Linked DNA regions of Kluyveromyces lactis. The protein of the gene in region 1 interacts with the protein of each later gene in a pairwise test. Links are inferred from orthologs where the notes say so. Each region holds a gene or a part of one and is shown on either strand. Other genes may lie near its edges.

Evidence for each region.
Region 2: the proteins of SBA1 (region 1) and DOT5 interact in a two-hybrid assay, tested with the Saccharomyces cerevisiae proteins (2 studies listed by BioGRID). The link is inferred for Kluyveromyces lactis from reciprocal best matches to the Saccharomyces cerevisiae genes SBA1 and DOT5.
Region 3: the proteins of SBA1 (region 1) and PPT1 interact in a two-hybrid assay, tested with the Saccharomyces cerevisiae proteins (2 studies listed by BioGRID). The link is inferred for Kluyveromyces lactis from reciprocal best matches to the Saccharomyces cerevisiae genes SBA1 and PPT1.

The regions. Positions count from the first base shown.
Region 1 is NC_006039.1:1,238,577-1,248,431, forward strand, and holds SBA1 (Hsp90 cochaperone SBA1), read right to left. Parts: upstream 5,972-9,855; coding exon 5,417-5,971; downstream 1-5,416. Other genes in the region: ATP-binding cassette transporter YOR1, read left to right, coding at 1-386; DNA-(apurinic or apyrimidinic site) lyase APN1, read left to right, coding at 797-1,903; serine/threonine protein kinase PRR1, read left to right, coding at 2,414-4,039; KLLA0_C14300g (glucose-6-phosphate 1-epimerase), read left to right, coding at 4,376-5,266; ubiquitin-protein ligase RKR1, read left to right, coding at 6,650-9,855. UniProt on the Saccharomyces cerevisiae protein: Acts as a co-chaperone.
Region 2 is NC_006040.1:1,214,640-1,224,698, reverse strand, and holds DOT5 (thioredoxin peroxidase DOT5), read left to right. Parts: upstream 1-5,933; coding exon 5,934-6,551; downstream 6,552-10,059. Other genes in the region: KLLA0_D14399g (uncharacterized protein), read right to left, coding at 1-209; SLG1 (Slg1p), read left to right, coding at 1,541-2,824; CUB1 (Cub1p), read left to right, coding at 3,275-5,041; APM1 (Apm1p), read right to left, coding at 6,794-8,125; telomerase subunit EST3, read right to left, coding at 8,416-8,970; KLLA0_D14201g (2-isopropylmalate synthase), read right to left, coding at 9,621-10,059.
Region 3 is NC_006038.1:949,602-960,662, reverse strand, and holds PPT1 (protein serine/threonine phosphatase), read right to left. Parts: upstream 4,716-11,061; coding exon 3,177-4,715; downstream 1-3,176. Other genes in the region: KAR3 (Kar3p), read right to left, coding at 1-1,678; rRNA-processing protein RRP15, read left to right, coding at 2,259-3,020; ribosome biosynthesis protein NOC4, read right to left, coding at 4,979-6,544; ASN1 (asparagine synthase (glutamine-hydrolyzing) 1), read left to right, coding at 7,828-9,552; AAA family ATPase VPS4, read left to right, coding at 10,033-11,061. UniProt on the Saccharomyces cerevisiae protein: Protein phosphatase that specifically binds to and dephosphorylates the molecular chaperone Hsp90 (HSC82 and HSP82). Dephosphorylation positively regulates the Hsp90 chaperone machinery.

The DNA.
Region 1 (9,855 bases):
ATATGTTCAAATTCCATTTAGATCAGATGGTGGAGGATGATGGTTCCAACTTCTCCTTAGGCGAACGCCAATTATTGGCTTTGACCAGAGCCCTTGTGAGGGGATCAAAGATTTTAATTTTAGATGAGGCGACGTCATCTGTGGACTATGCAACGGATGCCAAAATTCAATCTCGTATTGTGGAAGAATTCTCCAACTGTACTATTTTATGTATTGCCCACCGTTTGAAGACTATCTTGGCTTACAACAGAATTCTTGTTTTAGATCAAGGGCAAGTCGTTGAGTTCGACACTCCTAAAAAATTGTACAATGACCGTGACTCTATATTCAATGAAATGTGTCGCGGTGCTGGTATTGTTCCTGCAGACTTCGAAAACTCAAAGTAATCTCCTGTATATATCATTATTTCTTTTGCATTACATTTTGTTGTTTGGTTTGGTGTGAACAGCATGTTTTCCAAAGACTTGCATTAGCATATATTTTCGGTAAGCAATGACTGCTTTCTATATATTTAATGAGCCTAAAATTTCTATCAGCCACAACGATCATTCATAGTTTAAAATCAATAATAAAACTTTACAAAACCATCAATCTTCTTTACCGTACTCCTAACATTCGAATAGTATTCCCTGTGTCTACGGCATACTATGTATTTTTCTTCTCTTCCGCACTTCCACTTATTCACCGTAGTGCACGTTTGTATAAGTATGGGAAATATTTAAAGGAAGAAATCTAATCAGAATTGAATTTGTCTATATTCTTGTTGCACATATTGAAATATCGCATACGAAAGTGCATGGAGACTTACTCATCACGTCGATACCTATCTAATCGAATGTCATTTGTCAGGTCTACGACTTCCAAATTTAAATTCGGTGCTCATGTCAGCGGTGCTGGTGGTATATCCAACAGCGTTACCAATGCCCATGAAATTGGCTGTAATTCGTTTGCAATGTTCTTGAAGTCGCCAAGACAATGGAATTCTAAACCGTATCCCGAATCAGAAATCACCAAGTTCAATGAGAACTGTGCAAAACTTTCTTATGATCCTAAAACTGATATTCTACCGCATGGTTCTTATTTCATAAATCTAGGGAACCCAGATCATGAAAAGGCAGAAAAGGCATACGATGCGTTCCTCGATGACCTGGTAAGATGCGAACAATTGGGAATTGGTCATTACAACTTCCATCCAGGATCATCATTAGATGGGGATCATGATACCCAGTTGAAACAGCTCGCAGGATATATTAACAAAGCCATCAATGATACGAAATTCGTCAACATTGTTCTAGAAAACATGGCTGGTCATGGCAATTTGATAGGAAGTAACTTAGAAGATTTGAAAACTGTCATAGATATGATAGAAGATAAAAACAGAGTTGGTGTATGTGTAGATACTTGTCATACTTATGCTGCAGGATACGATATATCAACAAAAAATGCCTTTGACCAATTCTGGAAGAAGTTCGATGCCATCATTGGATTCAAATATCTAAAAGCGATCCATTTGAACGATTCAAAAGCCCCATTAGCAGCAAACGCCGATAGACATGAAATATTGGGACAAGGGTTCCTAGGGCTCGAAGTTTTCAAGATCATTGCCCACTCAGAATTCCTTCAGGGGATACCGATAGTACTAGAGACACCACAAAAGGAAGACGCTGGCTACGGTGAAGAAATCAAACTATTGGAATGGCTAGAAACTATAGATGAAGAGGAAAACAAAGACTACATCGAGAAGAGATTAGCATTGAATAAACTAGGAGAAAAGTCCCGTAAAGAATTCCAAGCTAAGTTTGATAAGAAGAACAAGTCCACAAAGACCACTAAATCTACTAAGAGGAAAGGACCTTCTATCACGGAACAACTGACAAAAAAGACAAAGAAAACAAAGTCTTAATACTGCACCTAAATATGTAGAAATAATGACAGCATATGTATTTTAACCTTTTTATTTAATCAGCAGTTCTTTCGTTCTTCCAACATTGAGGTCAACAAGCGAATGCTTATCATATCTATGGAAAAAAAAAAGTTCAACCCTATGTCAGGGATCGACGTAATATCGTCTGCACAAACATTTAAAGTTTTGATTTTTTTGGGTCGAGGGAGTTAAGATAAGTTCAGTCGTGAAAATGGGTTCGAAGTATTTGTGTTTGTTTTGTTAACTCTTTCGGAATCGCTACGGTAGTCAAAGCTCGAAAGTACCACTCACCTAGCTTGTTACATTACAAATATCTGTGTATTTGGTACTGTATTAGGGTGCTTTTTTCACATTTTGTTTGCAATAGAGCAAAGAAAAGAACAAACACAGAAATATTATATTCACTGGAAGGTTTTTAGAACAAGTGGGGCAATTGTTGTTTTTGGATAAACGTAAGTACAGAGCTCAACTGGACCCATCTGCCAAGCTATGAATGATATGGATACTAGAACTGAACCTAATGTCCAGCTGACAGAGACACCAAAGCTTGCCCAGAGAGAGTTTGCAGGAGGAGATGCGGAGTCATCGGTCAAGAATCAGCTTCCGGAGATCAATTCGAGTCTTAATAGAGAGGCAATCGATGTTGGTATGTTGCCGACTCCAACGGCAAATGTGTTTACTTCACCAGTTAGGGTCAATAAGTCACCTGGGGGTTTTGATGCCGGGCTGCAGGTCGAGAAAAGACGTAACAAAGATAGCGCCAGTAACTCTGGAGTTCCAAGTCCTACGATATCTTCTGTGGATACTCACGAGGAAGTACTCGATGAAGAGCTCTCAAAACTTGGTACCTACATGAATCGTGATGTCACTCATAAAATAAAAGGAAGGATGTTATCTGAATATATTCCAAATAATTCAATGGGCGATGGTAGTGGTGGTGTTGCTGTTCAGCGTTCAATTTCATTAAATAATCGTGTCGTCGAGAAACCTAGTTTGAAGAAAGAGACTATCATCAATGAGGTTATCACTTCTGTACCATCGGATAAAGAAAATGAACAAAAAGCTGATGGTACGATTATTAGGGGATACATGGCTAACACTCCAAATCATATTAGCTTCCAATGGTCTAAAATAAAAGAGATTGGGTCAGGAAATTTCAGTACTGTCTATCTTTATGAATGCATCGATGATAATTTGAACATCAATTTAAATCCGGAACTGAAATATGTGGCAGTTAAAAGCATTAAATATCCGAGAGAGTTACTTATGAGCTCATCTCCGTCATCTCCGAAATACAAAGAATTATTGAGTCGAGTTGTAAGTTCTTTGAAGCGGGAACTGACCACTCTAATTTCTGTGCACCATCCATGTATCGTGAAACTCTTTGCAATCAATGATACCACGTTTATTACAGATGAACATCCATTGTACGGAAGGCGTAAGCTCTCTGCTTTACCCAGATGTGATATGATAATGTCATATTGCACTGGTGGTGATTTGTTCGATTTGGCTAGCAAAACTAAAATTCCAAACTGGCTACTCACCAGAATTATCACAGAATTATCCGTTGCCATAAAATATTTGCATGATAATTTTATCATTCATCGGGATATTAAACTTGAGAACGTCTTATTAAAGTATACTCTAGATGATATGATGTTATTAAAAGAGGACGAGAGCCAGTTCTTTTCAAAGAATTTCGTAGAGTTAGCAGATTTTGGTCTCTGTAAGAAGATAACCCCAGATGAAATGTGTACAACCCGTTGCGGGTCAGAGGACTATGTTTCTCCTGAAATTCTCTTAGGACTTCCGTATGATGGAAGAATCAGCGATGCTTGGGCCTTTGGAGTAATTACTTATGCATTGTTGGAAGATAGGTTGCCGTTTGACCCCTTACCTGGTCAGAGTTCAAGAAGAACCCGATCCATTGCCCATAGAATTGCAAGATGCGACTGGAAATGGCTAAAGAATGCAGACACCGATCATCCTGCCAAAGAGATAGTCCAGAACACACTCGTAAGAAAAAGCGAACGTTGGAACATGGATCAACTTTGCAACACACCCTATATTCGTAACATTATTGATAAATTACAGTTTTTAGACCATCAAGGATAAATTATATAGATCAGCATTTATATACACAACCAACATACATTAAAATCTAATGAAACCTGATATTCTACTCAACGAACATTCATTAAAAGTATACCTTCTAGGATCTTCAATTATTGCATTCTGCGTGCCAGCTTGTCTTTCATTTATTGTTAACGTTGTTATGTAGGTAATGTTGTTACCTTAAAAATCCAAGAATTAACTTGAATACGAAATTTAATCTCGTTACAGTACGCTCACTGATGAAATTGATAAAAGAAGAAAGGAAAATAAGAAGACTACTAGAAGCTAGGATCAGTAATTGGTGCTACTATTGACAATCAAAACTACATAACAACTATGCCTATCGAGGAAACTGAAACTGAAATCATCCTGACACATCCTAACAATTCATCAACAAAAGCAAGAATTCTAAAGTATGGTGCCACGGTATTTTCCTGGGAATTAAAAGGTGAAGAGCAATTATGGTTATCTACTGCTGCTAAGCTCGATGGTTCCAAACCGGTTCGTGGTGGTATTCCATTAGTTTTTCCAGTTTTTGGTAAGAACCATGATGATGAACATCTAAGTAAATTACCACAACACGGTTTAGCAAGAAATTCCGTATGGGAATTTTTGGGCCAAGTGAAGTCTAACCCTCCAACCATTCAGTTAGGCTTGGGACCTGAGTTTGCTAATGAAGAGCTAACCAACTTGTGGCCATTTGAATACTCTTTGGTGCTATCAGTAGAACTTGGTGATGAATACTTGAAAACTGAAATTGAGGTACTAAATACAAGCACTACGCAAAATTTGAAGTTCAATTGGTTATTCCATACTTACTTGAAAATTGATGACATTGAAGATACGTTGGTTTCTAATTTGAGCAGCACCAAATTGTACGATCAACTATTGAAGGAAAGCTATATTGACAGACAACCTGTGATTTCTGTGCATGAAGAATTAGATAGAATTTATCAAAATGTTGACGAAGACAGAATCATCCAAGTGATCGATAAGGGGTACCCAATCCATACCTTGAAAAGACACAACCTACCAGATACTGTCGTTTGGAATCCGTGGGTGGAAAAATCTAAAGGTATGGCAGATTTTGAACCAAAGGATGGGTTTAAAAATATGGTGTGTGTCGAACCAGGTCATGTTCATGATTTCGTGGTTTTGGCACCAGGCGAAAACTGGGTTGCCTCCCAGATTTTGTATAAAGATGAATTGAAGTTCCAAAAGGTCTAAATAGCTTTTTATTCAAAGCCGCTCAATATCATAATATATAATAGAAATTTTTGTTCGTATTTATACACCTATATATGCGCATGACTGTATACAGCAAATAAATGAATTAAATCTTGATAGAAATCGCCTTTGCAGACCATCCGATCATACCTATTCAGCTTTTTCTTCGTCATCTTCATCATCTTCTTCTGGTAATGCCTCATCCAGGTTGATTCCGGCGTCAGCGAAGGCTTGTGGATTGAAACCTTGTTCCATTCCAGGGAAGCCAGCGCCCCCCATTTGGCCAAATTGTGACATCAAGTCGTTATCAGCAGCAACATTCTCTTCTTGTTCATCTTCGTCAACCCATTTATCAAAGTCGGTTTTAATGTAATGATACTTAAGCTTCTCCTTGGTCAATCTGGGCCAGTATTCAAGGCCTAAATCTTTCTTCCTTAACACCAAAAAGTAGTTTCTACCGTTAGCTACCCTCTGCTCCGAGTTTTCCGTATCAATTGGCTTGTAGAAGTCAATGTGCAAATGGTATTTGATCCCATCTTTACTGTGATACTTAGATAGTGCACTGAATTCCAAAGAATTTTCGGTTAATTCCATTTTAGGGTTCGTACAGTCTGGAATATTGATGGTAATGAACAAATTGTTCTTGGTATCATCGGATTCGCTTGAACGTTGAGCCCATAAAACTTCTGGAGTGTGAACTGACATGTTAATTTGATTTATTGATTGGTAATTGGCGGTTTAAGTGTAATTTGTTCCAATTGTACTCTCTTTGTTTGAGTAACAGTTTGTATGTGAACGCAATATTTGTTATTAACATTTTCTGTAACTGCTTCAAATTTCAAGGTTACCTTTAAATATAAAACAGAAGAGCAGGAAGCTTCTAGATAAAATTTAACGATATGGGAGAGAGAGACAAGATACAACACCAACCACCACCAGTCATACATCCTTTTCCGAAAAATACCAAGCTAGCAATGTGCACTTACAAAGACTCTATATGTGGATCAATTTATAGACAGTGATGGTTGGAGACTTTCGAAGTTCTTTCAAGAAACCATCTAGGTCACGTGATATATATGTATATATATCCACACACTAGGATTGAGCTGATTTCGCCTCAACAAAGGGAAACTTCGACCTCTGAATTTTAGCAACTGGAAAATTTCCGCTAATCCTGGTCATTCGTACTGCGTATAGTATATTCATATGTATATATCCCTCCGCTGTATGCGTATGCAAGACTTATATAAGAAAGTGAAAAAAAAATTAGGTACTTGAGATTTCGTTTCTACTGCACATCATCAGCAATTAACGAAAGGTCTCGATCAAACCGAAAAGCAGTAACTCATACGGGCCATTCATAGTAACGGTCATTTGAATACTATGTCATTTAACACTAACGTTTTTACTGACTCTTCATCAACTTTAGGATTAGGCTACAATGGTGTTAAAGTAACTTTGAACTATTTCGATGGTCTACCGATATTGCAAAACGTTCAATCTACTGACTTGCAATTGTGTTTCAAGTCATTACTAAAGCGAGCGAATACTACCAAGGAAAAGGCTTTGAATGATCTTTTATCCTTTATACAAGATGACGATAAACTCTCTATTTTCCAAGATGATATGTTCATACTATCATGGTGCCAAATTTATGCAAAGTTGATCTCGTCTGATTCGAAGACTATAAGAATCCAGGCACATCAATTCACTGCTACTTTGATAGCGAAGTTTGGGAAACGTGTGTCCAAGTTTCTGAAAGAGCTTATCCCAATGCTTTTGAGTGGACTCTTCGATGTAGATACGGCGGTTGGAAGATCATGTTCTGATAGTTTGCTCAACTGTTTCAAGGACTCTAATAAAGTTAACTCATTATGGAAACTATTCACCTCAGAGATTTTAAATTTTATTAAACAGGTTATTATAGTAGAAACTGCAAAGTCCATATCCGATGAAAGATATTACACAAAGGAAGACATTTCATTGAGATATAATCAATTATTAATTGCATCCATCCGCACTTTAACTAAACTTATTAGTGTCGAGGAACTTACCACTGATCAAATGGAGACTTTGCACGAAATACTCACAGATGAAGAATTCTGGAATAACCTAAGTTTAAAAGATACAAAAAATTTGAAGGGATACCAGTCTCTTTTACATCTAATGATTGAACTTCGGTCTAGACAACTATATCGAAAAAACAAGGAAGCTTTGAAACTTGCCTCCAAGAAATTACTCGTGTCGTTGTCACAATGTAACGCAAAAACTCTTATTTCAGTATCATCTGTTTTACCTGACATTTTGAAAACGTTGTTGGAGATGAACAAGTACAAAGATGGTAAATTCTGGTCTTATGAAAAGAAAAGTAAAGAGCGATTACTTACATTCCTCTCATTGGGGCCTGGAATATCGGATCCAGTATATTACTCTTTGGCATATCAACTTTCTGCTGAATCGAGCATACTTGAACATCAAGAATGGCTCTCGATCTGGATCAAATATCTCGATCATGAAAATGATCGGCGGGTACTAGGTCGGAATGGATACAAGTCATTGATCGAGGCTTGGAAAAATTGCATCAAGTTTAGTATTTCATCATCGGACCAAGACAGCATTCAACAACTTCATCCTAACATCTTAAGGCTTATCACCACCAAAGACCTAAAGGAAATTCCTGAGCTTGTTTTAGAGTTATCACCTACACGCATCAACTATGCTTTTTTATACGATCTAATCATTGATCTACTTCCTTTGGGTAAAGGTGAAAAAAGAAAGGAAGTCTTACTTATATCCAATACCTGTCTCATTTTGTCCAGTGATATCACAACTATGCATATGTTGAGCGTTGAAGTTATGAAATCTTTGGAGGAGTTGGAAAATCCTGACGATCTTCCTTCTTGTTATGGCTTCATTTTCTACGATAACTTGATCAAAACCAATAACTTGAACCTTACCAAAGAGATTAATACTTTTATCGACGTATTACCCACGTTAGTCTCTGAGGCTTTCTTCAAAATTCCAATGGATGTGATGATAGATTTTTCAAACTCTGCATTCTTAGCGAATTCTACTTGGGAACAGTATTTTGACGATTTTATAATGGTTTTATCCCAATATGAAACACCAAAGAAGGCAATTCCTTCGTTTTTGGCTCGCTTGAATAGTGAATTTCTCTCAAAACTCATGCATTCAAGTCAATCCTACAAGGATTTCACCGAAGATTTTGTCTCCACTTATCAGTTTGATGATGATTCTATTTTCAAATCAAAAATACTAAACGGTTCTCTTCTACTCAGGTTATATGAAGCTTCTAAGAAGCAAGGTCATGTCAAGGCATTTAAAGATTATTGCACCGAAATTCCAGAAACAAGCGAAGCATATATAACTCTATTATCAAATTCAGATTTTCTATCACAGAGTCTAATTGTTGATCAAAAAGTTACAATACCAACTACAGCACATTCTGACCAAACAATTGCAAATGCTGTTTTTAAGACTGTTCTCGATACTATATCCGTTGAATGCTTGATAACGGAAGATAGCATTGATGAATTTGTTCTTCAACTACAACAGGAGTCCTTACTTACCAGGCTTTTTATTAGTTTAGATTTGGAAGTCATGTTTTCCAGATACATCAATAAAATCGATACACGCACATCCGTCACTTCTCCCTTAGGCTTACTGCCACATATATTGACAGCTAAAGGAGACGCTTCATTAGTCGATTATTTGAAATTGATTAGACTGTCACAAGTTGTGGATAAGATCTTAACCCGGTTCCCAGATGAAGTCAGTACTTCGCATTTGTTGTTTTTAACGAGATGCTACGAATTAACTGCTGATTATAATTGTTTGAGCGATGAACAAATAACATATTTCCATGAAAACAACATATTCTCCTCCTGTGTGAATGTCTCTTTCGAAGATTTGATCTCTTCATTTACAGAAGACCAAAGCAATGAAATTCTCACTGTTCTCTTCGACAAGAACTCTTCGGAGGTCACATCCTTTTACAATTGCAAAATTATCTATAGAATTTGCCTCAACAGTGTTGACTATCTCTCTATCTCTCAGTTTGATAAAATTATGGATGGCTTCTTGCGAACTGCTAGAAGTTTGCTTTCTAGCAAGGCATTGCTTGTCCCACGTACTCTTTACATGTATGCGATTTTCGCTGCAAGCTTCAAGTTTAACACAGTAAGTGCCAATTTATGTGTCTTTAGAAATTACCTCCTTTCTGAATTAGTGGGCGTTAGATGGTTAAGTGCTTCAGAAACACAGAAGTGCTTCGTCTCCATGTTATTTTTATCACAAATGCTTGATTTCAACGTCGATACATTCAATTCCTCTCCTCTAGATGACAGGAGACTCAATATGGCATTAGTATCAGTAACAACCTTGATGCAAAGTGAAGTATGGTATGACAATTCCTCTAATGATGTGAGATTGGTCATCATACAGTTTCTTGTTAAGCTTCACAATTTACGAGAAGTTTTGGATGCTTCAGAGAGACTATTGGATTGTTCAGTTCAACTATTACAGGATTGCCTTGGATTTTTAGAGCTTCGGGAATTTCAATATTATGA
Region 2 (10,059 bases), on another chromosome or scaffold:
ATGGTGCTAGTACTGCCACTACCATTAGCAGAGCCACCAGAACCGCTGGGGGTTCCTGCGGCAGTAGCACTTTCCGTAGCATCAGCTGCTGCTGCTGCAAGCAGCAGTACCTGTTGGCCCTGACCATGGCCCTGACCATGGCCGTACTGCGAATGATGATTCTGCATCTGTGTGTGATACTTCGGCTTCAAATCCTGATACACTATCATAACCCATACCCTGACTCTCTAACAATTCTTATTAAACAGGGCCACGGGAAATCGATCCCATTACACTGGACCAAAACTCCTGTGAACAGCCTCATCTCAAACAAAGGTTCTTTAGTATACTCTTCAATTATATACAATATAATACATAAGATTGGCACCCTATAAAAAAGAAAGTTATTGAGAAAGTGAGCGAGACCGTGAAATTTAAACAAAAGATGATAGATAATGCGTCTCATTTCTCGATGTTTCCCATGCTGTGCTGGGCTGGCCTGGAACGGACCCTAATTACTCATCAGTAGGTACGTAGATATATCATCTTTTTGACACCTGGAAATATCCATTTGCCTCAAGGGCTACTAAGCGGATTTCTGAAATGGTATCGCTTTGGTACCGAGTGGTAACTGAGCAGAGCTAGAATAGACCTATGATTCTGCACGTCGTTAGGGAAAGAACTGGGTGTAGTGACGGGATGAGATGAGATGAGATGAGATTAGAGGGTGGGTTTTGCTGGTGAAACTAACCCATACACCACATACTAATATTTTTGCAATGGGAAAAGTTCACGAGCCACAATTGGACGTTACCCGGAATACCAAACTCTTATCCGGGTAACTGAGTCACGAGGCATCGCGTCAATATATTTATATGTATATATATGGCAGTGGTACACATATATACGCATATATACCGGGCTGATGATACATATATAACGACATACTCACATTTTCCATGGCCATCAGGTCTCTAATAGTCCCCCCCCTCATAATTGTCCTGCGTTACCGCACAAGCTGTCATTGTAATCCCTTAAGCATCGGTGTCATTTATTAATACCTATGACAGTAGAATTTAATATTAAATAATACACATATCACGCTACGCAACATTTTACAAGGTGAAGCTTGGCCATGCTCATATTAGACAACGGATAATGGTCCAAAAACAAGTCACAAGCACCCTTCTGGGTGCTTGTCCTTCCCCAGATACATACTGAATTAGATAAAACCTGGAACAGAGTTCTCTTAGAACATGGAAAAAGATGAAAAAATTGGAAACTGGCTGAGATTTCGATATATTCAAATGTGCAACAAGACGTTAACAGAGATCCAGAAGTCGAACAGAAGGGAAACCCATCGGTTCGGGACTCTTCAGTGCCATACTTGTCTTCTCCCTTCAGCTACCGTGTGTGTGTGTGTGTGTGTGTGTGTGTGTGTGTGTTTATACAGAGTGTACTTTATCCTGGTGAGCGAGAAGGAAATAGACAGTAATCATTTTGTATAATAGGGCAGAAGAGGAATTCATAAACAAAGAAAGAGGTCTTTTTGGTGTATCCTATGATTCAAGTAGGACGATTTTTTGGTTATGGAAATAATGGAGGGCTCGCTAGCGAGCCCTCTTTTAAGTACCGATTTGCTGGATCAAATTTGGGAGTTTCCTCGAGGAAACTCCCTTTACTGAAACTTTTCGTTTCAGTAGTTCTCATACACCTGTGGTTCACCACACCGAATTCACGATTCGGTGTATATGCACTCACCGAGGTTGGATGTTTCAGTTCGCTTCCCTCGTCATTTGGTGACGGTAGCACTTATGAATTTCAGTCTAGTGCGCATTGTGCTTCAGAATGTTCCGGATCACAGTATATGGCTTTATACAACCATGACGAATGTTTCTGTGGTGACGATGATCCTTCAGGATCCAGTTCCACGTCCAGCAGTTGTAACGCGTATTGTTACGGTTACGGCTCTGAAATGTGCGGTGGTGAAAACGCTTATCTGGTGTACGCATTGAGTGATAGCACTTCTTCGGGAGGTTCGAGTTCAAGTTCGAGTTCAAGTTCGAGTTCAAGTTCAAGTTCAAGTTCCAGTACCAGTTCTAGTTCCAATTCAGGTACTACGACGACACTGGCCGGTACTTCAAGTGCGGATAGTAGTACACAAGCGTCCATTACAAGTAGTCCCTCTTCAGCAACGGACGGTAGCAATTCGTCTGGGGACGATGAACCAAGTGTCGTATATTCCACATCCATTAAAACCGTAAGTGGATCAGTACAATACGTGACGACAAACATCGTGACAGCAAGTTCGACTTCGGGATCCTCAAGCTCAAACAACAACAGCAATTCCTCCTCATCGAAAAAGACACAAGTTGGGCCCATCGTAGGCGGTGTCGTTGGAGGTGTCGTGGGTCTGGTTTTGGTAGTCTTGGCTGTCATTTTAATACTAAGACATATCTCAAGAAGAAGAGAGGACGAACGTATGGAAAAGGAATACCAAGAGGCTATCAAACCGGTGGACTACGATGAACATAGAGATAACTACTTTACTTCCTCTGCTTCAGATTACATGCACCCTGGAGACAGCGATGGAAGTGGGAATGGACATGGACTCGATACTAGTATCGCTACAGCAACAGCAGCGGGAGCTGCTGGTGCTGCAGGAGGACTGGGATCCGGGTTGGGACGAACGCCATCTTCTGGAATACCGTTATCAGAATCCCAAGGAACTGTGTCTAACCCATTCGCCGACTCGAAAAGAACCAGTAACGGTTCACTTTTCGATTCACCCGACCTGCATCATGAACAACAGAATAAACTTACCGTTGTTAACCCGGATGAATAGATCTACATACCCACACTTCTATCTAATCGTTTTCCAATACCATACCATACTTTAGTCATACATACCGCTCTCTTGTTCTCATTCCATCGGTCGTCTGTGCTCCATAAAGTCGTTATTCCCGAGAAACTGAAAGTTACCCTACTTTCAATTCTTTCCCCCCAATAATCTTTAGCCGAGCTAATTTCAATATGACAAACATTCAAAGGATTTAAGTATAAAGACATACTCTTGATGGCAACGAAATTGGGTTCAGACCGATCCGGTGGCAACAGACAAAGGGACTTAGACGTTTTAATTGTATTGTTTCGTATACACAAAGGATTTACAGGCATTTACAACCTAGATACTAGAGTTTAGTTCTAAAATATCAAGCCAATAAAGTAATCATAGAATCAATTTGTTAAGAATTGTACCAGTGAGTTAAAGAGAAAGAGAGAGAGAGAGAGAGATATGTCCGTTAATTCTCATCCTATGGCAGTTCCTCATGAAGAGGAGGAAATTCTGACTTATTTCCTTGATGTCCGGTCGTTTTTGTCAAAGATGAAACAGAATAGATCTCAATTCCTTAACTCTAAGGATGTTATGGACACTTATCAGAAAGTGTTGACAAAAGTCAGGGAGTTGGATGAATTGCGTAAGAATTCGCATGCTACTCCTTCAAATTCTGCCACTACGCTGATTCATAGTTCGGAATTGCACAATAGAGTCGATTCTGTTATCGATGATGTTTTCCAGTTATTGTCATTGAGTTTCTTGACCGTTGGTTTGAAAAATTCAGCTCCAGCAACTTATGCTTCGCTCTCGACCGTGCAGAGCTTGTTGGAACATTTAAACGAATCGAACGTTTATACCCATCACGACTTAAGACCTATTAAAGAGAGACTTAATGAGGTCAGTGCCATCGTGGAACAAAACAAGTATGTTAGTAATAGCGACACTCAGAGCGTAAATGCAGATGCAGATGATATAGGAGAATTTGCTTTGCAGAAAGATGAAGAGTTGAACAAGAATAAGATCGAAGAAGATCTGTTGTTAAGAGCCAAGCTAAAGCATTGTATCGACGAATATAACGCCATCGAGTCGAAGTTAGAAGAGATCCATCCGGACTTGCAATCTACCATGGAGGCATTGTTCCAAATTAGAAGAGGTCTACTGTCACTGGCATCTTCTACAAAGAGGCCTCATCAGAAGCAATTGGTACCGGATCCGGCTGTTCTTTCGGTGGAAAGTGAGGCATCGGAAAAGAAGAATGTGTTACCAGATCAAGTGATCGATGAAAAATTGAAACAGCTACAAGAACAATTGGAGAAGTTAGAATCTCATCGTGATATCAACGGGAAGTTCAAATCTTTGGAGACCGATAAAGTCGAAGAAAAAGGCCAAAACGTTCTAAACGGTTTATTAGACGATTGTCATGATTTGGTAAATGATTTGTCCCATCAAAAGGATGGTGGTATCTCTCTCGACACCAAGTTGCAACCTATCTATGATCAACTAGTGGACATCAAGACTACTTTGGAAAATTTGTTAGTAACCAGAAGATGGACTCTAAGAGAAACTGATCTTTTCACATACCAAAAGAAACTAGGAGAAATCGATAACTTGAGAGTTAACGGTAAATTCCCAACGGACCACCCTGATTCTAAGGGCCAATCGATTTTGTTGTACTTATTGCGTAGGTGCTACGCCATCATTTATAAACTCTTAGAATCATCTGAACCGGTATCTGAATCTTTGCAAAGAGTTCATAACCAATTGTCAACAGTACGCAGATGCCTATTAGAATTGAAAAGAATGGGTGGTGTAGACAACGACCGCGAATTGTATCCATACCAGATGAAGCTAGCGTCCTTGGACAATATGCGTGTTGATGGTAAATTCTACGATACAGATGGTAATATCCCTGAAGGTCAAGGTACTCTAAACGCCTTGCTTGCCGAATGTTTCGATATCATTCATGAATTGAAGATCGAAGCTGAGGAAAGAGTAGAAGAAAGAGTGGATATACATGATGACGGTGAAGAATCAGTGGAAATGACAAAGGATCCAACCATGAGAGACGTCCAAGAACGGCCAACTGCGAGATACATGGACGTGTACGCTCATGATGACGAAGGTAATGATGATGACGATGAAGATGATGCTGATGATAACAACTTTAGTGAACATAGTTACGACGAAGAAGAGTATACAACTACCAGTTACGCGGATGATTAGAATATGCCAACGGCAAAACAAGATTAACCCATAACTGGAGAGAAAAAAAAACATTACCGTGCTGCTCTAATCAATGCGATCCACACAAGTGTATATTATATTGGACCTATTCCTTTATTCGTTATCTTTTTCCTTTCATCATCATTATTGTTCATTTACTATTTTGAAAGCAAGCAAAGCTAATAAAGTAAAGATGTTTGGACCTAAACACCATGTTGTTCTATGACACTCATCACAAAATTACAAATTATTTCAAACATACACGATGCATACACTGTTCTTCCACTCACAGAAAAATATACGTATATATAACAGGAAACACTACGGGCTAGTCTCCATTATCTATTGTTTTCTCATACCAATTCTAACTTTTTAATCAAATCTATTTCTTTTGGAAACCACAATTTACTCGGACCACCTTCTCTTGCTAGTGTTATACTGTGATTGTTTTATTCGACAATGCTCTGAATTTGACCGTGGACTCTGTTATATACAGCTGGATATACTTATACAACTATTAAAGATAACGGTAATTTTGCAGCCATTCTTGGTGACAAGGCCATTGAATAGTTGATTGTTGCAATGAATTTTTGGTTATATTCCCAATTGTTATGTAAACGTAATTGTAGTTCTTAATTTAGCAGTTGGCTGTATTTACCATTCGAGAAAATGTTTCTTGTAGGGCTTTTCACTCGAGTGTTTCTTCGCTTTGTCTTCCGTCTTTCAATCTTTGAAATTGCTTGTTTGCCTGTTTTTGAACGTTCGAACCTTTAAAAAGAGCAAAACAGGAAAAACGCACCTTCAACTGTACCAAATACGCCCCCCATATCATATCTTTTAATCTGCCCTAACTACAATCATCGACTTATATTTTTATACTGTTCTGTGAACTATGGTTGAATTACGTCGTTCTAATAGAATCTCTGCTAAGAAAGAACCTTTAGATTCCGAATCTGCTGAACCCATCAAGGTAAAGGCAAAGACAGAATCAAAGGTTACCAAGCCAAACGGAAAAAAAGAGGTTAAAAATGAAGATAGTGCCAATAAGCTAGCTGAGTTGCAAATTGGTGATGACATTCCTGATCTAACTCTACTAAATCAGGATGACGAGCCGATATCGTTGAAAGAAGTTGCCTCCAAGAATAAATTAGTGGTGTTCTTTGCTTATCCAAAGGCCAGTACACCTGGTTGTACTAGACAAGCGTGTGGCTACAGAGACAATTATAGCGAATTGAAGGAACACGCTGCTGTTTTTGGACTAAGTGCTGACGCTCCAAAGTCTCAGAAGAGTTTCCAAACTAAGCAAGCCTTGCCTTTTGATCTATTAAGCGACCCTAAACGTGAATTTATCGGAGCTTTGGGTGCTAAGAAGACAGCTGTTTCTGGTGTTGTCAGATCTCACTGGATCTTCAAGAACGGTAAACTAGAAGTGAAGAGGGTTCAAGTTTCACCTGAGGTCAGTATTGAAGAAGGTAAGAAAGAGGTTTTAGAATTGGCCAAGTCTTTATAAAACCCAGTGGCTAACATAGTTACTGACGATCGATTTCTCATATGTAATAGTAAATGTCAAAGGATTTAAACATAATTGAGAATGGAAAAAGATTTATATTACTATATACACACATAAGATCAGATTGAGTAGCGTTTCTCTCAAGGGCGTTTCATTTTTAATTGCAAATGAATCTTTCTCCTCATATAAGCACTGATAGATTAGAGTAGGATGGCCAGAAATTCTTCAAATCATGGTCACTTTCACAGCCTGATGGTGTAATCGTCTCCGCTCTGCGTAATGTAACGTACCCAAGGATAACTATTATACTGTAGCTTTGGTTCTTCGATTTTCAAATAACGAACTTGAATACCGGATGTTGTGAAATAAGGAATTTGGAATTTGATTTGTACTGGTCTTTTTAATTTTGGTGGTTCAGCATCAGAGACTGAGGGCAACCCCAGTTGCGCAGCCATTGAGTACTCTTTACCACCTTGGAAACTACTAAATTTCCATAGAATTGCATTCTTTTCAGGAACCCACTTGATATTACCACGAGAATATTTGAACGTGGGCGAATCTGCGTCTTCCGGAATCGGTATTAAAATCTCCACATTATTCGCTACTGACTTCTTTTTAATTTGTGCCTTTGCCCTACAGTGAATCTCGATACGAGACCCTGAATGTACCTGTACCTTAACGTCACACCATATCAAAGGTTTGATCGGGGTAGAGAGTCTATAAGTCATTAGATCAAATTCCCCATCAGGTGGGATGAACGTGATAATCTTTTCATTCTCAAACTTGCTCAATCTCACACATTGATGGAATTTTAGATCCTCAAGTTCTATATTACTATTCTTTTTCTTCGAAGAAACTACAGGTTCAGGTGAATCTTCTTGATCATTAGTTGTGAAAATACCTTTATCATTCAAACCCAATTTCAAATCAGGCATACCAGATAAACGGGATCTAACTTTGACAGTACCCAAGATCTCAGATCTTAATACTTGGCCCTGCTGTGTCATTAGCATATTGATCGATTCGATTACATCCAAGAACGCTTCGTTCTTCTTGTACTTGATACCCTCTGGTCTCCAACTGACAGAATTGGTCAATTCGGTTGGTGGTCTAGCCACATTCTTTTGCTTCTTCGCTGACCTAGTCAATTTGAATGACTTCTGAGTAATATACTGTTTCAACATTTTCGTTTCTGTCACTTGCGGAACGCCTTTATCCATCATTTCGTCTAAAAGTTCGTATATGATAATATAATTATCTCTGATTGACTCTTCTTCCACCCTTTTCACGTACTCCTCAACTACATTGATCAACTTGTACATGAAGGCGAACATAGTGGTAGCATTAACGGATACTGACCTGGTCAATGCTAGCACGTAAACATCGTTATACTGCACGTACATGTAGTGAATCCCATTGTGATGGAAACAAGGAGGCATGACACTGCTTTCCTGTTCTCTTTCTAGTAACAAATGCTGGAACGATTCGACAGCAGACTGTGAGACATCATCTTGGTATCTTCTCGAGAGTAGTGGCTTACCCTTTGAATCACAAAATGCAACGTACGAAGCCATTATACTGGTATCTTTTTAAGAAATGTTGCCTCCTGAAACTCCACCAAAGAAAGAGCAAAAAACACACTAGTGATACTGCACAATTGGTTACTATACAGGGTCCTATACCGATATATTAGTGTACGGTTTGGCTATTACTTAGATTGTTCATTGTTCAGACACTATTTATAAATGTAGTTTCGAGATTTCAATGCTTTGGATACCGAAATTTCACTTATTTACAGCGGTACACCACATACACGAGGTGCTAAATTGCATCTAACAATGCGAACACTCGGCAAGAGAGACCTTCAACCATGAAGTGTGTCATATACCCATTCAAATTGGACATTGGACGAGATCTGGTCTCTGTCAAACATCCGGGCCTTTTCAATCTTGAGCACGGGGACCATTCGAAGTCCAGGAAAATCCTGATTGAACCATAATTTGCACTCTCTGTGGTTCCAAAACTGTAGGGTTACATTGCCGATGACGAACAACGTATTCAGTGTATTCAATGTGATCCTATCATTGTTTATAGTTTCGTAATCTAGCACGCAGTCTACAGTGAAGTAGCATAGAATTAATGCTGTAGAGTCTCTAATCGTTGCATAAACGGTGTAATCGTTTACTCTATGGAATTTAACAATTCTGACGAACCTCTGAGGTGCGGGATTCAAAGCCGTTTGGAAAGCTGACTCTATGATATCATGTTCTAGTAAGTCCGTTACCAGTTCACGTTGTTCTGGCCAGAATTTCGTCTTTTCATTCTTTAAATAATAAGGCCTTACCGAAGGTTTAATCCATTCCTGCAAGAACACTGAATCATTATTCGTTAATCTTGAAGAAAGTACAACATTGGGCATGTGAGGATTGATAAGGTTAGAGTCTCTGTTCAGTGTATGTTAATAATGCTTCTCTGTTTCTGTACTACAATGGGTTTTAGGATGAGATTGTACCTTGATACAAAAATGTAAAAAAATTCCTCCGCGACGGGGAATTGAACCCCGATCTCGCACGCGACAAGCGCGAATTCTAACCATTAAACTATCGCGGAATAGTAAATTCGATGAGAGTTTATTGGACAAAATCATAATCCACGTGGCAAAAGTAGTCATGTGACTAGCTATGCAAAAATGTTAAAAAATGAAACGGACAGGAATTGAACCTGCAACCCTTCGATTGCAATTTTGTTTCCTTGGAAAATTCCCAGAATTTAACTGGAGTCGAAAGCTCTACCATTGAGCCACCGCTTCATTCTTGAAACATTTACGACAAGAATAGAATATAACCGACTTACTTTTGTCATGTAAAAGGGGCCACAGATGACACAATAGGTTCTGGTAAATATGCTTTACCCACGAGCATGGCCATAATAGAAGAAACATGGGAATGCCTTTGGAAGCTTTTGTTCATGTTTCATTATTGAAATAAATATCGGTATATCTCATTGATTTATATATATATATATATAGTTCAGATATGATGGCGTTTATTTCCATACCGCATGGGTAGATCAATTGGCAGCTGAATTGACAGTGAAGTTCTTTGCCCTATCAAGACCGTTTATACAAGATAACAACGCCAAGAATGAAGCCAGAGTAGTATCCTCATGAATACCAACACCCCATTGAACAAATCCTTCATGAGAGACAGAGATATAAGTAGCAGCTCTCGAATCGGAACTCTTACCCAAGGAATGCTCATGATAGTTTTTCACATCAAGATTAGTTTTGAAGTTTTTATTCACAGCATCGATGAAAGAAGAGATTGGACCGTTACCAGTACCTTCCAAATCCCATTGAGTAGTTCCATCTGATAGCTGCACCGAAAGAGTGAAATTCTCCGGAGATTTGTCATATTTATAGTCGATAAACTTGAATTTACCAGTAGTTGAATGAGATCCAACGAAATACGATTTCTCGAATAAAGAGATTAGTTCATCGCTCTTCAAC
Region 3 (11,061 bases), on another chromosome or scaffold:
AGCGTTCATTTGAATTTGTGGCGGCAATCGACTTCGTTTTATTAGCTGTTCTCAAGACAGTATTCACTCTCGCACGTGTTTCTAGTTTTATGGACGTGACATTGGTAATTGAGGTTCTTTGAGAGTCCCCATCGTGTCGTATTTCGTATTTTGTCGGACCTGGTTCGGGATTTAAAGATCTCAAAAGATCAACGATTTGTTCGTTGTAAATTTCGATAAATTGAGCCTCAAATGAATAATCCCATCCTCTTTCCTTCAAGAGGTGCGTCCAGTCAAAGATATGATCTAATGTCATTGGTATTACACCATCAGGATCGTTCATCATAGTATAAGTTTTTCCAGAACCAGTTTGACCATAAGCGAATATGCAAACATTATAGCCATCCAGTGAACTCTGAATCAACTGGCCAACTTCTTCGAAAACGTCTCGATTTGATGCATTAGAGCTGAATACTTTGTCAAATAAGAATCTGCTGTTCCTATCTTCATTGCTTATCTCTATTGCTTGCGATCCATTTCTATTATCAAAGTTAGATACATGAATGTGCGATATATCCTGCACTTCGTTTTCTAAAGGCGGTCTTATTCTACAGTATACTCTGATATTTCCTCGCAGCTCCTGTAGTTCATTATGAAGCTTACGACGCATTGTCTCCTCTTTTATCAGTATTTCATTGATTTGTAAAAGTTCGTTTTTGGAATTAGTGATATACTCATTGAGTTCTTTCCGTTGACTGATAGTTTGCTCTATTTCTTCTTCGACAGTGTCTATTTGCACAGTAATAGATTCCTTGAATACATTCTTCTCATTAAGCTTCTCTTCCAATTTTGCTAGCTCCTTTTCTAAAATGTTACGTTTGTCTTTAGATTGATCCAATTCATTAGTCATGTCATTTTCTATATCTTGACTTAACTTGTTGATATCCTTAATCATGGACTGATTAGCTTCTGTGATATTCTTCCATTCCGTCTGAAACTCTACCATCCACTTCTCTTTAAGATTTGAGTATTTCTTATCAAGTTCTTCCTTTAATTGGTTAATGACATTGTCATTATTATTTACCTCATCGTTTAAGTTATGTATGTCCTTCAATAAATGTTCCTTTTCTTGTTTAAACTTTTGAATCTTTTCAAATTCAATCTGCTGCACTTCAAATTTGAATTTCGACTCTGTTTCATTCATTTCACAGTGGTATTTTCCCTCTATCTTCTTTATTTCTAGATCAAATCCGTTTCTCATAAACTCTAACTTCAATTCATGATCTTGATCCATGCTATTCAATTCATTCTGCTTTAACCCGATTTGTCGTACTTTCACTTGTTTCTCCTCTTTCAAATTGTTCATTTTGAACTCTACAGTTTCCACTTTGCTTTTCAACGAGTTCATCTCATCCTGTGCGGTATTCAACTTGATCTTTTTTCTGGACAACTCTTCTTGCAATCTATTCAGTTCTTTCAGGTTTTCTTTGTAAAAGAATGTCATATGAGTTGAGCTTCTATTTTCAGTACTGGGCGTGAGAGACCTTCTTCTGTTTATACTCTGTACATCTTCTGGATTCAATCTTATCGACTGCCTTGGTTTGTATTTTGGTGAACTTGAACCCTGCTGGGTTGGAGAAGGTATATTAGAACCGTCCTTCGATGAACATCTTTCTGGCGTTGACGGCGGTCCATTCATATTCCGTTTGATTATCAGCCAACCAGTTTAATTTAGTCAAACCCACTACCTTATTACACGTCTTTTCCAAAGCGGTACTGGTTTATATACGTTCTTCAATTGCTATGTCTCCTTTGGTGTTTCAAGATTGTTTTGTTTTCGGTTGATCTTATTATTTGTTTACATCTTTACTAGTATATGTGACATATTTCGAAACTGAACCGGCTTCAGTACACAACAAACCTTCTTTGGGTAGCTTGAACAAGTAGAGGAACCATTACAGATACACCACACTCCAATAAACCCAACAGTCGGGGAACCACAGGCTAGTAAGAGAGTTCAGCTTCAAGTTTCTTATGACGGCGGCTCCACCAACGTCAAATTTGCAGTGGTGTATGGGTGTGTTGATAGAATGTATTTCTTTTTGTTAGTGAACATGCCAAAAAAAATTTCAGTGAAGCACAACTCATCTCATCGCTTTCAAGACTGTATCTGGGCCTTTAGGATCCATCATTGAATTCACACTATCTCAATAGAAGGTTAACTTGCCGGTAGATTGTGCAGTGGACAGCTTTGTATTGTATAGCCGCCTGAAAATACTATGAGTAGCAAGGGTAAAGTGACAATACCTGTCACCAAAAAGAGCAAGTTGAATGACAAGTCTGCAAAGATCAGGGCTCAAACGAAAGTCAAAGAGAATGAAGTATCACAATTGGCTGATGAAGTAGATTCTGATGTGGATTCTGAAGGCAGTACAGGTTCCGAAATAGATAACGATGAAATGGATCTAAATGAAGTGTCGAGTGATGACGCCAGTGATGAAGACAGTGACGATGAAGATGTGGTGAACCAACCAGATGACGATGACTTCCCAAGAAAGAAGAAGTCTTCCAAATCCAAACACGATGATGGATCATCCACATTTTCCAGCGCGTTAACCAATATTTTATCATCGCATTTGAAAGCATACGACCGTAAAGATCCCATTATGGCTAGGAATAAGAAAGTTTTAAAGCAAAATGAAGCAGATAAGTTAGAGCAAAAGGCTAAGAGAGCTATACTCACAGAGAAGAAACAACTACTCAATAAGACTAGAAAGAAAGATATTATACCTGTTGTGGCTGCAGACGCAAACTCGGATGAAATTAGAGAAATTCTTGAGAAGGAACGTAAACTAAGAAAGATTGCCCAGAAAGGTGTTGTGAAGTTATTCAATGCAATTCTCTCTACTCAGGTTAAGACTGAAAAGGAAATCAATGACTCATTGGGTGGTGTGAAGAACCGTTCAGAGAGAAAAGAGTTGATAACGGAGGTTTCCAAGGAGAAGTTCTTTGATTTGGTGAAAACTGCTGGTGACAGTTGAAAAGAGGAAGTTCTATATGATAGAGGGAATCATCTGCATTTATTAAAGCGCAAAACTATGTACATATATAGGTAATCCCAAAGACTGTATAATAGACTAATAATATTATTAATTACAACTTTATCGAAAAAAGATCAGATCAGGTCAGATGAGGGATCAAAATCCTAACCCTCCATTTGAATATGCCATTGGTTTAATATCTGGATGTGGTGAAGCAGAGAAAGTTTCTATTACCAAGTCGCTGTCGATAGATGATTTCTTTTCAGATTTTGTGTTTGGAACAACATGAATGATTGCACCGAGGTTGCCACCGGCGTCACAGTAGTTAGGAGCACTGAAAACAGTGACCAATTGATTCTCATGCTCAAATTCGTAACCGCCTTGTCTAACTTCATGAGACCTGAAGATTCGCTTTAAATTATTCTGTTTCAAGAACTTTCTAGTAATGTCAGGCCCAAACGCATTACTTAAGCCACGAGGAGATGGTCCAAATCCATCCGGAGCCTGTGGATCCGCCCATAATAACTCCATAAATGTTCCCTCTCTTGGTGGTTGGTGGAATCTATCAATTTTCTTCATATCTTCTACAGTGGCAGAAGTATCACTTGGCAAACCACCATGCACGACCAGGTATGAACTATTGATGACAGTGGCTAATGGTAGAGATTCGAAGCTTTGTGAGAAAAGATCGAAAATGCGCTGGGAGTACTTGTATTTGCATTCGTCTTCAAACCCGTACACTTTATTCATGCTGTTGGTTTCATGATTACCTCTGTTCAAGTAAATGTTCTGTGGATACACGATTTTCAAAGAATAGAATAAAATGGCCACTTCACAAGACCATGATCCACGGTCTACGAAATCACCATTGAATAAATATACATTGGAGCCGCCTACTTTCCCATAACTTTTGAAGATGTTCAGAACATCATAAAATTGACCATGCGTGTCACCACATACAGAAATTCTTGTATCCGGCTTTTCTCTGTTATCAAGTTCAACAACACTGTTTTCTTGCTTGAACAAATAGTCTGCATGAGAAATGATCGCTGCAACGTAAGCCTTTGGAAGCTTTTTACCTTCTAGGAAAATCTCATTAATCATATAAGAAATGAATTCCTGGTTCATATTGTTAACTCTGACACCAGCATTGGCCCCAGAATCTGACTTCACTTGTTCGAATTCCAAGGTTTTACCATCATATTTGAGGAGATCGGCATTTGCATCGAATGAGCTGATATTTAAAGTTTGACATAAATCAACTTTAGAAGAGTCTCCACCGCTAATAGCTTTTTCAAAATTCTCCTTCTGTATGACTTTATCACAGATTGCTAATGCATTTTTTGCAGTGAGCTCGTTAGGCTTGAATTTCAACACAATGATCAAGTCCTTCCTTGCCTTTCTAAACTCTAGTAGCCCAATGTAAGACATAGCTCTGCGGTGATAGGCTTTCAAATTGTTATTATCCAATTCAATTGCACGTTTAGCATCGTCTAAAGAACTTTGGAAGTTATCCAACTTTAGGTTGGTGAACGCACGGTTTGAATATAGGATCGTATTCTCGGGATCATGCTCGATGGCTTTTGTATAATACTCAGCTGCCTTTGCGTACAGTTTCTCCTTCACGAACTTGTTACCTTCATTCTTCAGCTCTAAGGCTTTCTCTGGATTACAGGCTTTCACTTCCTCAGTCATTTATTCAATAGTAGTGGTAAAAAAGCAGCCAACTGGTATGGTATGTGCCTTTAAGTCCTCAAGACCGATAAACGGAGCCCATTTTAAAGTTTTTTCTGATGTGAGTCTTTCTCTTCTTGATGTTGACTTGTTGATTTTTTTCATCTCGATGTTTCAATATTACGGCGATGTGATGAGATGTAATGTGAAGAGATTTGCGAAAGTGAAAGAAAGTACTCAATTTGGAATTGAACTACTTAAGTTTTCTACTTGAAATTATGTATTTACCATTTTATGAAGGGTAGGAATGCTGAATCAGAACCTGATTCGAAAATTGTTTCAAACCTTTCGAATTCAAGAGCAGGTTGGATCTTCAGCTTTCTATTGGTTTCTGCTTGCAAAAGTGAATCGTAAGACCAATCTAAGAAATCTTCGATGTTGTAGCTTAACTTTTGGAAAGGTTGTTGGAAAATCTTCGCTAAAGTGGCTACGTTTGGATGGTAGTGATTCATTAGCGTTTCTAGCTCCCATACTGAGGAGGAAAGAGCATTTGTAAGTTCTGGATTGGTTTCTTCATTGTTGAATGGATCTAGATATTCTTGCCTTTTCTTTGAATCGCAGTCGATGTATTCTGGATCGTGTAATAGAATCATACATGTAGGATGCTTTCTGATTAGATTGTACACGAATGGTATTATAGAAACAATAGCACCTGGTGGTGCCGATACGGATAAACGTGCCAAACGTTTGATGAATGACGCTACCAGTTGTGCGGATAAATGTGTAGAAGATAGAAAGGTGTCCACTAATCTGAAAAATCTTGATCTGTACTTAACGTGCATTACTTCTGGAGTTAGAAGCTGATATAGTTTTGAGTAGAAATTTGGATATTCTAGGTTGTATTTTTTCATAAGTTCAAACAAACCATTTAATGAAAGGATTGAAACGATACCACCTTGGTTGTAAGAGTCGGTAAGGAAATCCATAAGCTTTGTTGGTTGATGGAACCATACTATAATTCTCTTGTGTAGCACTAAAAGCACAGTTTTATATTGGCTACTGGATAAGTTGGCTAAATTTAGACAGTGCAACCAATTTGTTTCGAGGTTGGATTTAAACTTAGCATCATTCTCGATGGCTTGTGGGGGCACAGATACGAATATTTCCAAGTCTGGTGATCCCTGAACATCGTTGTTGCATAAAGCCAACCATTTAGACATCAAAATTTCGTCAGATGTTTGGCCATCAAGTTCTGGTAACAACGATATCAGTTCTGATTGTGTGTAGAATTGAATATCGAAATTCTTCTTATAATAGGCTTCCACAAATAGATTAAACACGGGATTCTCGCTCTGACCATCTTTGAAACCGATATCACCTTCAAAGTTACAATGGAAAAGAGCCACTAGTAACGATCTTAAAGTCTTATTTGGAAAGAAAGGACTATTTGGTTTCGAAGCCCAATATATCGATTCATGGTGAAGCATTTTCATATATGAGTCCAAACAATCTAAACTCAACGAGTTAACTTCATGCAAAGATGTAATGATAGCCAATAACTTAACCTTATAATTTAAATATAGTTTCTTACACCATTCAAAGAATTTCTTTTCATTGGCATTGGATGCAAGATGAGGCATCAATTGACCACGCTCAAAAAGTTTGATGAAAATCTGACTCAAAGCAATGGTCATATAACGGTAATCATCTTCCAAATTGTGCAACAATTCGTTTTCCTTTAGAAGTTCATTGTACCCATGGATTAGGTTCACCAACGAGTTGTAATGTTTTCTATCATTGCCGGTGCTAATAGACTTCCAAACTTGCTTAATCTCTTCCTTCGAGAGCATCTTGGTTAATCGCTGTCTGAATCCTTGGGAAACTTTTATATGTGAATTCCAATTATTTATTGCGAGTAATCAAACAGATTATAACGGTGAGAATATCCTACCTTAACGTTTCCTATTCGACTTCATCTCATCTCATCTCATCTCATCTCATCTCTTGATTCCAAATTTTTCAGAGATTCTTGCAATGTAGAAGACAATTGAAAAGAAATTATTCTTATCACGTGATCGCATTTCCTAATAAACTAGCTATCAATGGCGACATTAAATATATAATTTAGAGTGGTAAACCATTCTGTTGTCAGTCAAGTCTTGCCTGCATCACCTTGAATACGCACACTGATGCTCGTTCCTTCAGGGGGTGCGTATCCTCCAGTTCACGGCAGCCTATGAGCCCTAACAGCATACAAATTTCAACGATTAGTATAAAATGATCTAGCCCGAATTTCATCATATATAAGAGAAAGATTTATGAACCAAGAAATTACAAGACACAATTGGTGATGTAGAAGAGATGTAACTTTGATAGGCTTTACTTGTATTACTCTTTTTGGGCTTAAATCCACATGACCTTCCAAGTTTTAAAAGAAGACGATGATACTATTTGCGCTTTTTTAATTCTTACAATTCTTTCGTGGATGGGAATTATTTTCTGTTCATGGTTTTAATGGAGAATGTGGTGCCCTCGCAAGCCTTATAATCTTGTTACATTCTTTGAATGATTTGGGACACTTTTTATAAAATTCTGATTCTTTTTGGGAAGGTCATCCCATGTATAGACTTGATGTGAGTTTGTGTGTTTGAGTCTTGCTTCTTGCTAATATGAATCGCCTTGTGCGATTCATTTCAAAAACTAAACTAACTGTAAACGTAAACGTAAATATTAGATAGAAAAAAATGCCGTGATACGATGGTATCGTGAATATGACAAGTCGGAGCGGGAACAAATGAATCAACTATGAATCAGAGTTAGAATCTGGCACCAATTTTCATTTTCACTTCGTTACTTTTCGTTTCTCTGCTGCTTTGTCATATTCTTTTGATATGCAATTGATACTGAGTCATTTTCAATATCTCGAAAGAAAAAAGAATACGGCGATTCAAGCTCTGGTGAAAAATTTTGGAAAAAGTATAAAGAATTGATGCTCATCACAAGAAAACTAATGCTCGCTTGTAATAAGAATTGTTTATATGTTTATGTTAGGATCTTTGTTTTGTATTAGTATTGGTTTTTTACTCGCTCTTATCAATTAGATATACAGAATAACGAAGTAACAGGACCCAAGATGTGTGGTATATTTGCTTCATTCAGAAACCCTGATGTTCAGGCTTACAAACCAAAAGCTTTACAATTATCCAAGAGAATCAGACACCGTGGTCCAGATTGGTCAGGTAACATTGTTAAGAACTCTACTATTCTAGTTCACGAAAGATTGGCTATTGTCGGATTGGACTCTGGTGCCCAACCAATCACTTCCGAAGATGGTTCTTACACTTTGGCCGTCAATGGTGAAATTTACAACCATATCATGTTGAGAGAAGAATGTGCAAGCTATCCATTCAAGACTTTGTCTGACTGTGAACCTATCATTCCATTATACGAAAAGTACGATATCGATGCTCCAAAACACTTGGATGGTATGTTCGCTTGGTGTTTGTACGATTCTAAGAAGGATCGTATCATCGCTGCCAGAGACCCAATCGGTATTACCACTCTTTACATGGGTAGATCCTCTGCTTCTCCAAAGTCTGTTTGGTTCTCCAGTGAACTGAAATGTTTGACCGATGACTGTGATGAAATCATTGCTTTCCCACCAGGTCACGTATACGACTCTGAAACTGACAAATTGACCAGATATTTCACTCCTGACTGGTTGGACGAATCCAGAATTCCAACCACCCCAGTTGACTTTAAGGCTGTTAGAGAAAGTTTGGAAAAGGCTGTTAGAAAGAGATTAATGGCTGAAGTTCCTTACGGTGTTCTATTGTCCGGTGGTTTGGATTCCTCTTTGATTGCTGCTATTGCCGCAAGAGAAACAGAAAAAACTAATGCCGAACTTGATCCAGTTGTTTATGACAGTGACCCACATCAATTGGCTGGGCTTGACGAACAAGGTCATCTACATGCTGCTGGCTGGTCTAGATTGCACTCATTCGCTGTTGGTTTGCCAAACGCTCCAGATTTACAAGCTGCTCGTAAGGTGGCTACATTCATCGGTTCTATCCATCACGAACATACTTTCACTTTACAGGAAGGTCTAGACGCTTTGGACGATGTTATCTACCACTTAGAAACTTACGATGTCACTACTATCCGTGCTTCCACCCCAATGTTCTTGCTTTCTCGTAAGATCAAGGCTCAAGGTGTTAAGATGGTTTTGTCCGGTGAAGGTTCCGATGAAATCTTTGGTGGTTATCTATACTTCGCACAAGCTCCATCAGCTGCTGAATTCCACGTCGAATCTGTCAAGAGAGTTAAGAACTTGCACTTGGCTGATTGTTTGCGTGCTAACAAATCTACCATGGCTTGGGGTCTAGAAGCTCGTGTTCCATTCTTGGACAGGGACTTCCTACAACTATGTATGAACATTGATCCAAACGACAAGATGATCAAACCAGCTGAAGGTAAGATCGAAAAATACATTCTAAGAAAGGCATTCGATACCACGGATGAACCAGATTTGAAACCATACTTACCAGAAGAAATCTTGTGGAGACAAAAGGAACAATTCTCCGACGGTGTCGGTTACTCTTGGATTGATGGTCTAAAGGATGCAGCTGAAAGCACTATCTCTGATGAACAATTCGCTCAACCAAAGGCTGAATGGGGTGACGATATTCCAACTACCAAGGAAGCCTACTGGTACAGATTGAAGTTCGATGCTTTGTTCCCACAAAAGACCGCTGCTTCCACTGTCATGAGATGGATTCCAAAGGCTGACTGGGGTTGTGCTGAAGATCCTTCCGGTAGATACGCCAAGATCCACGAACAACACGTTGATAAAAAATAAGATCACTCTACTAATGTCTCTGTTATAAAATCTTATAAATATGTACAGAATAATTAAATAGAATTAGTACTTCCTCGATACAAATATACTATTTTATTTAACGTTAATGGCAAAAAGATATTTAGTGTGAGACTCTTCTATTATATGACTGGGGCATCTCTCTCATAAGCAATCTAGGATCACGACTGCTAGTATCCGAAGAGTGCTGTAGATGAACATTTCATTAGACATTGTAATTAATCACGTGATTTGATAAAGCATAGTCAAATACATTTTCTTATGTTGATGTTCCCAAGTAATTGCAAAAAGCCTATTATAATAGAGATACGTACTGCCTTAAATGTGTGTCGACTGATACGTGACTCAGTTTACCCCTCTGTTCCTGCTCCATAGTGATTTCGAAATACCATAGCCATTCAAATTGTAGAACGGCTTCAAGATTACAATTTAGTGTTCACTACTCACAGCACTTACATTGATATGAGCACCGGTGATTTTTTAACAAAGGGAATTGATTTAATACAAAAAGCCATTGATTTAGACACAGCTACGCAATATGACGAGGCTTACACCGCATATTACAATGGATTAGACTATTTGATGCTAGCATTAAAGTATGAGAAGAACCCCAAATCTAAGGACTTAATTCGAGCAAAATTCACTGAGTATCTGAATCGTGCAGAACAATTAAAGGAGCATTTGGAAACAGAACAACAGAAGAAACAAGAAAAGCCAAAAAAGGCAGCCACTGCTTCTGGTTCAGGTGGCAATTCCAATACAGAGGACGATGCAGACGATAAAAAGCTAAGAGGAGCCTTATCAGGGGCGATCTTGACAGAAAAGCCTAACGTTAAATGGGAGGATATCGCTGGTTTAGAAGGTGCTAAAGAAGCATTGAAGGAAGCTGTGATTCTTCCAGTGAAATTCCCACATCTTTTTAAGGGTAAACGTAAGCCTACGACTGGAATCTTGTTATATGGTCCACCAGGTACTGGTAAATCCTATTTAGCGAAAGCTGTTGCCACAGAAGCCAACTCTACCTTTTTCAGCATAAGTTCCAGTGACTTGGTTTCGAAATGGATGGGTGAGTCAGAAAGATTGGTCAAACAACTATTTGCCATGGCAAGAGAGAACAAGCCGTCCATCATTTTTATCGATGAAGTCGATGCATTGACCGGGCAAAGAGGAGAGGGAGAGAGTGAAGCAAGCAGAAGAATAAAAACAGAACTTTTGGTTCAAATGAATGGTGTAGGTAATGATTCCAGTGGAGTCTTAGTTCTAGGAGCAACTAATATCCCATGGCAGTTGGATAGTGCTATTAGAAGAAGATTTGAGAGAAGAATATATATTCCCCTACCTGACCTTGCGAGCAGAACAAAAATGTTTGAGTTGAACGTTGGTGATACACCATGTAAATTAACAAAAGAAGATTACAGATCTCTAGGGGAGATGACAGATGGTTATTCAGGATCCGATATTGCCGTGGTTGTCAAGGACGCATTAATGGAA